2 linked regions of the Anolis sagrei genome follow. The protein of the gene in region 1 binds, or shares a complex with, the protein of each later gene. Links are inferred from orthologs where the notes say so. Each region holds a gene or a part of one and is shown in the gene's direction. Other genes may lie near its edges.

Region 1 (3,944 bases):
CCTGGAACTGAAGGCAGGAGAAAAGAAAGGCAGTCAGAACCACGGAGGCAGCGAGAGTCTGTTTGAGGAAGATAGGCAGCCAGGCGTTTTTCTCCATTACCAGAGGAAAGTTAGAAAGAAACACAGGACTTTGGTGGCCTCCGAAAGAAAGAAAGAGAAAGGGAGGGAGGGAGGGAGGGGGAGGGAGGGAGGAAGGAAGGAGAGAGAGAGAGGGAAAGAAAGAAGGAAAGAAAGAGGGAAGGAAAAAGAAAAAGAAAAAAAGGGAGAGAGGGAAGGAAGGAAGAAAGAAAGAAAGAGGAAACGAAAAAAAGAAAAGAAACAAAGGGAGGGAGAGAGGGAGGGAAGGAAGAAGGAAGGAAAGAAAGAAAGAAAGAAAGGGAAGGAGGGAAGGAAGGAAGGAAGAGGGAGAGGAGGAAAGAAAGAGTGAAGGAAGAAAGAAAAGAAAGAAAGAGAGGGAGAAAGGGAAAGAAGGAAGAGGGAAGGAAAGAAAGAAAGAAAGAAAGAGAGACTGAGAGGGAGGGAAGCAAGGAAGAAACAGAGTGAAAGAATGAAAGAGAAAGAAAGAAAAAAGAAAGAAGGAGGGAGAGAGGGAAGGAAGGAAGAAGGAGAAAGAGAGAAGGAGAAAGAAAGAGGGAAGGAAGGAAGGAAGAGGAAAGGACGAAAGGAAGAGTGAAAGGAAGGAAAAAGAAAGAGAGGGAGGGGAGAAAGCAAGGAAGGGGAAGGAAGAAAAAAAGAGGAGGAAGGGAAGTCAGGAAGGAAGAGGGAATGAAAGAAGGTAAGAAAGAAAGGGAGAGGAAGGGAGGAAAGGAAGGAAAGAGGGAAGAAAGGAAAGAAACAGAGGGAGGGAAGAGGGAAGGAGGAAAGAAAGAGTGAAGGAAGGAAAAAGAAAGAAAGAGAGAGGGAGGGAAGGAGGGAAAGAAGCAAGGAAAGGGAAGGAAGAAAAAAGAGGAGGAAGGGAAGGAAGAAAGGAAGGAAGAGGGAATGAAAGAAGGTAAGAAAGAAAGGGAGGAGAAGGGAGGAAAGGAAGGAAAGAGGGAATAAAGGAAAGAAACAGAGGGAGGGAAGAGGGAAGGAGGAAAGAAAGAGTGAAGGAAGGAAAAAGAAAGAAAGAAAGAGGGCAGGAAGGAAGGAAGGAAGAGAGAGGGAAGGAAAGAAGGAAGAAAAATAGAGATAAAGAGAAAGAGAGAGAGAGCGCGCGTGAGGACCGGCAGGGGGAGGAGCGTGGGGCTGGGAGGCGTGGGCGAGGCGGGCCGGAGGAGGAAGAAAAGGCAGCGGGAGCTCCGGCCAAGCAGACACTCGGCGGCAGGTCCTCGCCCGACCATTGCTTCCGCCGCCTCTGGCTGCTTTGCTCGACGGGCTAAGAAGCCAACAAGAAGGAGGAGGAAGAGAAGAGGTCTTCTTCTCCAGCCTCGGGAGAGAGACGGGTCTCCCCTTCTCGCTGGACCTGAGTGCGACCCATGGGCGGCATCCAGGGATCCCGAAAAGTCGCCCCAGGCTCAGGCTCCACACCGCACCTCCTCACCTGAAAGAAGTTTGCTAAGGAGGAGGCAACGGGGCTCCTGCCAGACTCGCAAAAGATGAAGTCGGGATAGGACACACCTTGGGTCTTGTGGGGGAACCCTTCCAAGGTCGGGATGGACGCATCTCCTTTAAATCCAGGGGTTTACTCATAAAAACGGGGCTGGAGGGGGAAAGCAAGTTGATACTCAGACTCCGAGGACTCTAGCAGGTGGGTTGGTGGTGGAGAGAAAAGAAGTAGGCTGGTGTCTTTTTTAAGGGCTGGGGGATTTTTGTATTTTAGTTGATTTTAAACTAAAGTTTATTTAGTTCCTCCCTGCTCCCCCTCACAGTTTCTTGGTCCCCACACCACCCAGAGTATGGACCCCGAATCGATCTCTATGAACCGGACCCAGGACTTCTCCTGGCTGGACCCCAACGCCTCCAAGCCATCCTCTGAGCAGCCCTCGAAGCAAGAGGAGGGCAATGGCAGCTTCCTCTCGGAAATTGGCATCGAGAACTTTGTCACGCTGGTTGCCTTTGGCCTCATCTTCATCCTGGGGGTGCTGGGCAACTCCTTGGTCATCACGGTGCTGGCCAGGAGCCATCCGGGCAAAGTCCGGAGCACCACCAACATTTTCATCCTCAACCTGAGCATCGCCGACTTGGCCTACTTGCTCTTCTGCATCCCATTCCAGTCCACAGTGTATTTGCTCCCCAGCTGGGCGCTGGGCACCTTCATCTGTAAGTTTATCCACTATTTCTTCACCGTCTCCATGCTGGTTAGTATCTTCACCCTTTCAGCAATGTCGGTGGACCGCTATGTGGCCATTGTCCACTCGCGGCGCTCCTCATCCCTGCGGGTGTCCCGCAATGCTCTGTTCGGCGTAGGGGTCATCTGGCTACTCTCCATCGCTATGGCTTCACCTGTGGCTCACCACCAACGCATTGTCCACCAGGACATCATTAACCAGACCTTCTGCTGGGAAGTGTGGCCTAATATTCAGCACAAGAAAGTCTACGTGATCTGCACATTTGTCTTTGGGTACCTGTTGCCTCTGCTCCTCATCTCATTCTGTTATGCTAAGGTGAGTACAGTTGAATCCACTCCAAAGGATCCTTCATGAAAGTGCATGAGATCTCTGTGTAGGAAAGGCGCAGCTCCAGGGTGAAATGTGATGTACAGTAAACTAAAACAGGATAAGAGTATCACAGCCATTGGCCATACCCCAGTTACATCCCACTAGTGGCTAATTTTTTTCTCTTGCTTTGCACAGAGGCATATGTGCAGCATAAAGGTTTGAATGGACTTTGATAGAGCATGCAATGAATTTGGAGTGTGTCAGATAGGAGTGAGTAACTTCTGCCTGGTGCAGATATAACCACATCATGTTTTTGTTGTTGTTGTTCATTTGTTCAGTTTTTTCTGACTCTTCATGACCTCATGGACCAGCCCACGCCAGAGCTCTCTGTCAGCCGTCACCACCCCCAGCTCCTTCAAATTAAACATCATGTTTAATGTGAGCTAAAACATGAAGGTTACGTATTGTTGAATGCTTTCATTCTGGAATCATTAGGTTGTTGTGAGTTTCCCAGGCTGTGTGGCCATGTTCCAGAAGCATTCTCTCCTGATGTTTCACCTGCATCTATGGCAGGCATCCTCAGAAGTTGTGAGGTCTGTGGGAAACTGGGAAAATTGGGTTTATATGTCTGTGTAATGTCCAGGGTGGGAGAAAGAACTCTTGTCTGTTCGAGGTAGGTGTGAATGTTTCAATTGGCAACCTTTATTTGCATTTAATTGCCTAGCAGTTCTGGCTTCTTACTGCCTGGGGGAATCCTTTGAAGTTTATGATTGTAAAGATTTTATTGTGTATACCAAAATTTAGATGTGAAAAACATCTCAAGTGTGATAGTTTACATCTCAAGTGTGATAGTTTTGGGATGGGTTTAGCTACAAAATATGAAAAAAGCACACACAGGCATGTTATCTGAATTTGAAAATAAAGTTTGCAATACTCTTAAGAGAACTCTAAAATTGTATCTGTAAACGGCTCAAATTTGACTTGTACCATCTATATTTTTCAAGAGTTCTTTTAAGAGTATTGCAAACTTTATGGTTTATGTATGCAAGATCTAACTCTGACGTTACAAGAGTGTAGTTCTGTTCCATTCACACAGTATATACATCTTCACTGTTTGTGGGTCACTTAAATGATTCATTTCTCACATGTGTCTTCAAGTCCTCTGTTGATTTATGGCAATTGCATGAATTTCGTAGGCATGGCAAGAAATAATCTGAGCTGGATTTGCCAATTCTTTCTTCTGAAATATATCTTACAGCACCTGGTATTCATTGGTAGTCTTTCACCCAAGTACTTACCAGGACTGCTTTGCTTTAGGGTATTTCACCGCTCTGAATCTCCTCCGGGGTGAGATAGAGCAGGGTA
Region 2 (3,600 bases), on another chromosome or scaffold:
GTTCCTTTTCCCATTCTGTTCCCTGGTTTGTTGTGTGTTTTCTGGGCTGAAGGGCCATGCTTCAGAAGCATTCTCTCCTGACGTTTCACCTGCATCTATGGCAGGCATCCTCAGAGGTTGTGAAAAGTAAGAAGTTGAAGATGTACCATAAGAGCCAGAAGAAGGGAAGCCCTTGACATTCTGAGATATAGGGCTGTGTGGAAGGGCCCTGGGTTGTTGTGTGTTTTCTGGGCTGTATGGTCATGCTTCAGAAGCACTCTTTCCTGACGTTTTGCCTGCATCTATGGCGGGCATCCTCAGAGGTTGTGAAAAGTAAGAAGTCAAAGGAGTACCATAAGAGGCCTTGACATTCTGGGCTGTAGGGCCATGCTCCAGAAGCATTTTCTCCTGACATTTTGCCTGCATCTATGCCGGGCATCCTCAGAGGTTATGAAAAGTAAGAGGTTGAAGGAGTACCATGAGAGCCAGAATAAGGAGAGGCCTTGACATTCTGAGATATAGGGCTGTGTGGAAGGGCCCTGGGTTGGTGTGTGTTTTTCGTGCTGTAGGGCCATGCTTCAGAAGCATTCCCTCCTGAAGCTTTGCCTGCATCTATGCCGGGCATCCTCAGAGGTTGTGAAAAGTAAGAAGTCGAAGGAGTACCATAAAATGCCTTGACATTCTGGGCTGCAGGGCCATGCTCCAGAAGCATTCTCTCCTGACGTTTTGCCTGCATCTATGGTGGGCATCCTCAGAGGCTGTTAAAAGTAAATTGCCGGCGAGAAGTCGAAGGAGTACCATAAGAGTTTGAAAAAGGGGACGAAAATGCCTAGTCTAGGGAAGCCTAGGTGCCTCCCTCCTTCTCAAAACAACAACAACAACAACAACAACAACAAAGAAGAAGTCCTGAAGTTGAGAAGGAAAGGAGGAAGGCGGGAGTCTCTCTCTCTCCCCCCCCCCCCTCCCCGCGTAATGAAAGGTAATTGCTCCATCTGCAGCCCACATCTTGCCTGCCGCTAATTGAATCGCGGTCCTTTTCCTTTCATGTGTGTGTGTGTGTGTGTGTGTTTGCCCTTCCTAATGCCCTGCCTGGGCCACTGGGAGGCCGTGGGCGGCTCTCGCCCCTTGGAGGGAAGGAGAGGCCAGCCCGGGCTCCATAAATACCACTTCTCCGCCCTGAAAGGCATGCAGTGAACACACAGAGAGAGAGAGAGGCAGAGAGAGACCCGCTGAAGAGACCGCCCCATCTATCTATCGCTCTCTCTTTCGACTCAGAGTCCAGCCTCAGAGGAGCCCAGACTTCGCTCTCCAAGGTGCAGCCTTTTCCTCTCTCTTTGCATTCACAGGCGGCGAGGGGAAAAGAAATACTCTCATGCAGGCATATGGGCAAACTTGGGTCCTCCAGGTGTTTTGGACTCCAACTCCCAGAATCCCTAACAGCCTCAGGCCCTTTCCTTTTCCCCCTCAGCCGCTTAAGCGGCTGAGGGGGAAAAGGAAGGGGCCTGAGGCTGTTAGGGATTCTGGGAGTTGGAGTCCAAAACACCTGGAGGACCCAAGTTTGGCCATACACCTGCCTTAATCTCTACCCTCTCCTAAAACCAGCTGGCACTGTGCATTAACTGTATTTTGATCTCCTTTCAGATGCAGAGGTGGAGTAGCCTCCTGTTTATCTCCTTAATCTTTTGCTTTGCCCTCTCGGAGACTTTCGGGCTGGTCTTATCTGTAAGTACTCCTTTCCAAATCTGGTGTTTGCTTCTCTCTCCCCCCCCCCCCCCACCTGAATCAGCACCTAGAATCCTCCACCTTGTGCGACCGTGGAGCAGAACAGACATCTCCGCGCCTGTATGCTTGTCCACAATGTCCTGCCCTATCTGAACATCAGGAAGAACTTCCTGACTGTGAGAGCTGTTCAGCAGTGGAACTCTCTGCCCCTGAGTGTGGTGGAAGCTCCTTAGAATCATAGAATCACAGAGTTGGAAGAGACCTCCTGGGCCATTCAGTCCAACCCCCTGCCAAGAAGAAGGAATATTGCATTCAAAGCACACCTGACAGATGGCCATCCAGCCTCTGTTTAAAAGTTTCCAAAGAAGGAGCCTCCACCACACTCCGGGGCAGAGAGTTCCACTGCTAAATGGCTCTCACAGTCAGGAAGTTCTTCCTAATGTTCAGATGGAATCTCCTTTGGAGGCTTTTAAATACAGGCTGGATGGCCATCTGTCAGGGGTGCTTTGAATGCAATTTTCCTGCTTCTTGGCAGGGGGTTGGACTGGATGACCCATGAGGTCTCTTCCAACTCTAGGATTCTATGTACAGGGGAAGAATTATTGGAGGCTATAGACAATTCGGGTTTTTTTGCCCATTTTTGGTCCAAAGATATTTAGCTGCTTGTGCTCCTTCTATTTTTATCGGTTTTATACTACTTTATGCAATGCTTTTGATATGAAATAAATAAAATAAGGGAGCCCCCGGTGGCTCAGTGGGTTAAACCACTGAGCTGCTAAACTTGTTGACCAAAAGGTCACAGGTTCGAATCTGGGGAGTGGCATGAGCTTCCGCTGTCAGCTCCAGCTTCTGCCAACCTAGCAGTTTAAAAAATTGCAAATGTGAGTAGATCAATAGGTACCGCTCCGGGGGGAAGGTAATGGCACTCCTTGCAGTCATGCCGGCCACATGACTTTGGAGGTGTCTACAGACAATGCCGGCTCTTCGGCTTTGAAATGGAGATGAGCACCAACCCCCAGAGTCGGGCACGACTGGACTTAATGTCAGGGGAAAACCTTTACCTAAATAAAATAAAGCATATAGCACCTGATTTGATAGGATGGGTGTTTGGTTTTATGTTGTTGTGGTGGTTGTTATAATTTTCTTCCATTCTAAGACACAATTTCCTCCTCTATATCTAAAAATCTAAAAATGAGATGCATCTTAGAATTGCAAGTGAAGGTGCTACTGGAATTAGGGTGCGCCTTACAGTCAGTGACATCCTACAATTGAAGAAATACTGTATTATTGGGCTGCGATGAGTTTTCCAGGCTGTATGGCCATGTTCCAGAAGCATTCTCTCCTGACGTTTCATCCACATCTATGGCAGGCATCCTCAAAGGTTGTGAGGTCTGGGTTGCTGTGAGCTTTCTGGGCTGTATGACCATGTTTTGGAAGCATTCTTTCCTGACATTTCAACCACATCTATGGCAGGCATCCTCAGAGGTTGTAATTGAAAGTTGGGGCCAGTCCTGATTTTTAAACACACTTTGTTTTTAGAAATACAGTAATGGGATTTCAATCCAATTGAAATCAAGAGAGTCACTTCTGAATAGCTTAAACAATGTCACTTCTGAATAGCTTAAACCTCACAATCTCTGAGGGTGCCTACCATAGATGCAGCGAAATGTCAGGAGAGAATGCTTCTGGAACATGGCCATACAGCCCGGAAAACTCACAACAACCCAGTGATTCCAGCCATGAAAGCCTTCAACAATATGTTGTGAGGTCTGTTGCAAACTAGGCTCTATCTGTCTATCTATCTATCTATCTATCTATCTATCTATCTATCTGTGGAATGTCCAGGGTGGGAGAAAGAACTCTTGTCTGCTTGAGGCAAATGTCTTGTCTGTTTGAGGC

Evidence for each region. The genes of interacting proteins can lie anywhere in the genome.
Region 2: the proteins of GALR1 (region 1) and GAL are in contact, whole or in part, in a cryo-EM structure (PDB 7WQ3), measured with the Homo sapiens proteins. The link is inferred for Anolis sagrei from reciprocal best matches to the Homo sapiens genes GALR1 and GAL. Residues at the interface, in NP_001471.2 of Homo sapiens: Glu32, Gln92, Thr94, Val95, Tyr96, Leu98, Pro99, Thr100, His112, Gln174, Phe177, Arg180, Gln184, Phe186, Cys187, Trp188, Glu189, Gln190, Ile266, His267, Ala270, Phe275, Leu277, Ser281, Phe282, Arg285; in NP_057057.2 of Homo sapiens: Gly33, Trp34, Leu36, Asn37, Ser38, Gly40, Tyr41, Leu42, Leu43, Gly44, Pro45, Val48.

Annotation. Positions count from the first base shown.
Region 1 is NC_090024.1:74,603,122-74,607,065, forward strand, and holds the start of GALR1 (galanin receptor type 1), read left to right. Parts: upstream 1-1,263; 5' UTR 1,264-1,877; coding exon 1,878-2,585; intron 2,586-3,944. UniProt on the Homo sapiens protein: Receptor for the hormone galanin. The activity of this receptor is mediated by G proteins that inhibit adenylate cyclase activity.
Region 2 is NC_090021.1:239,137,473-239,141,072, reverse strand, and holds the start of GAL (galanin peptides), read left to right. Parts: upstream 1-1,076; 5' UTR 1,077-1,292; intron 1,293-1,620; coding exon 1,621-1,701; intron 1,702-3,600. UniProt on the Homo sapiens protein: Endocrine hormone of the central and peripheral nervous systems that binds and activates the G protein-coupled receptors GALR1, GALR2, and GALR3.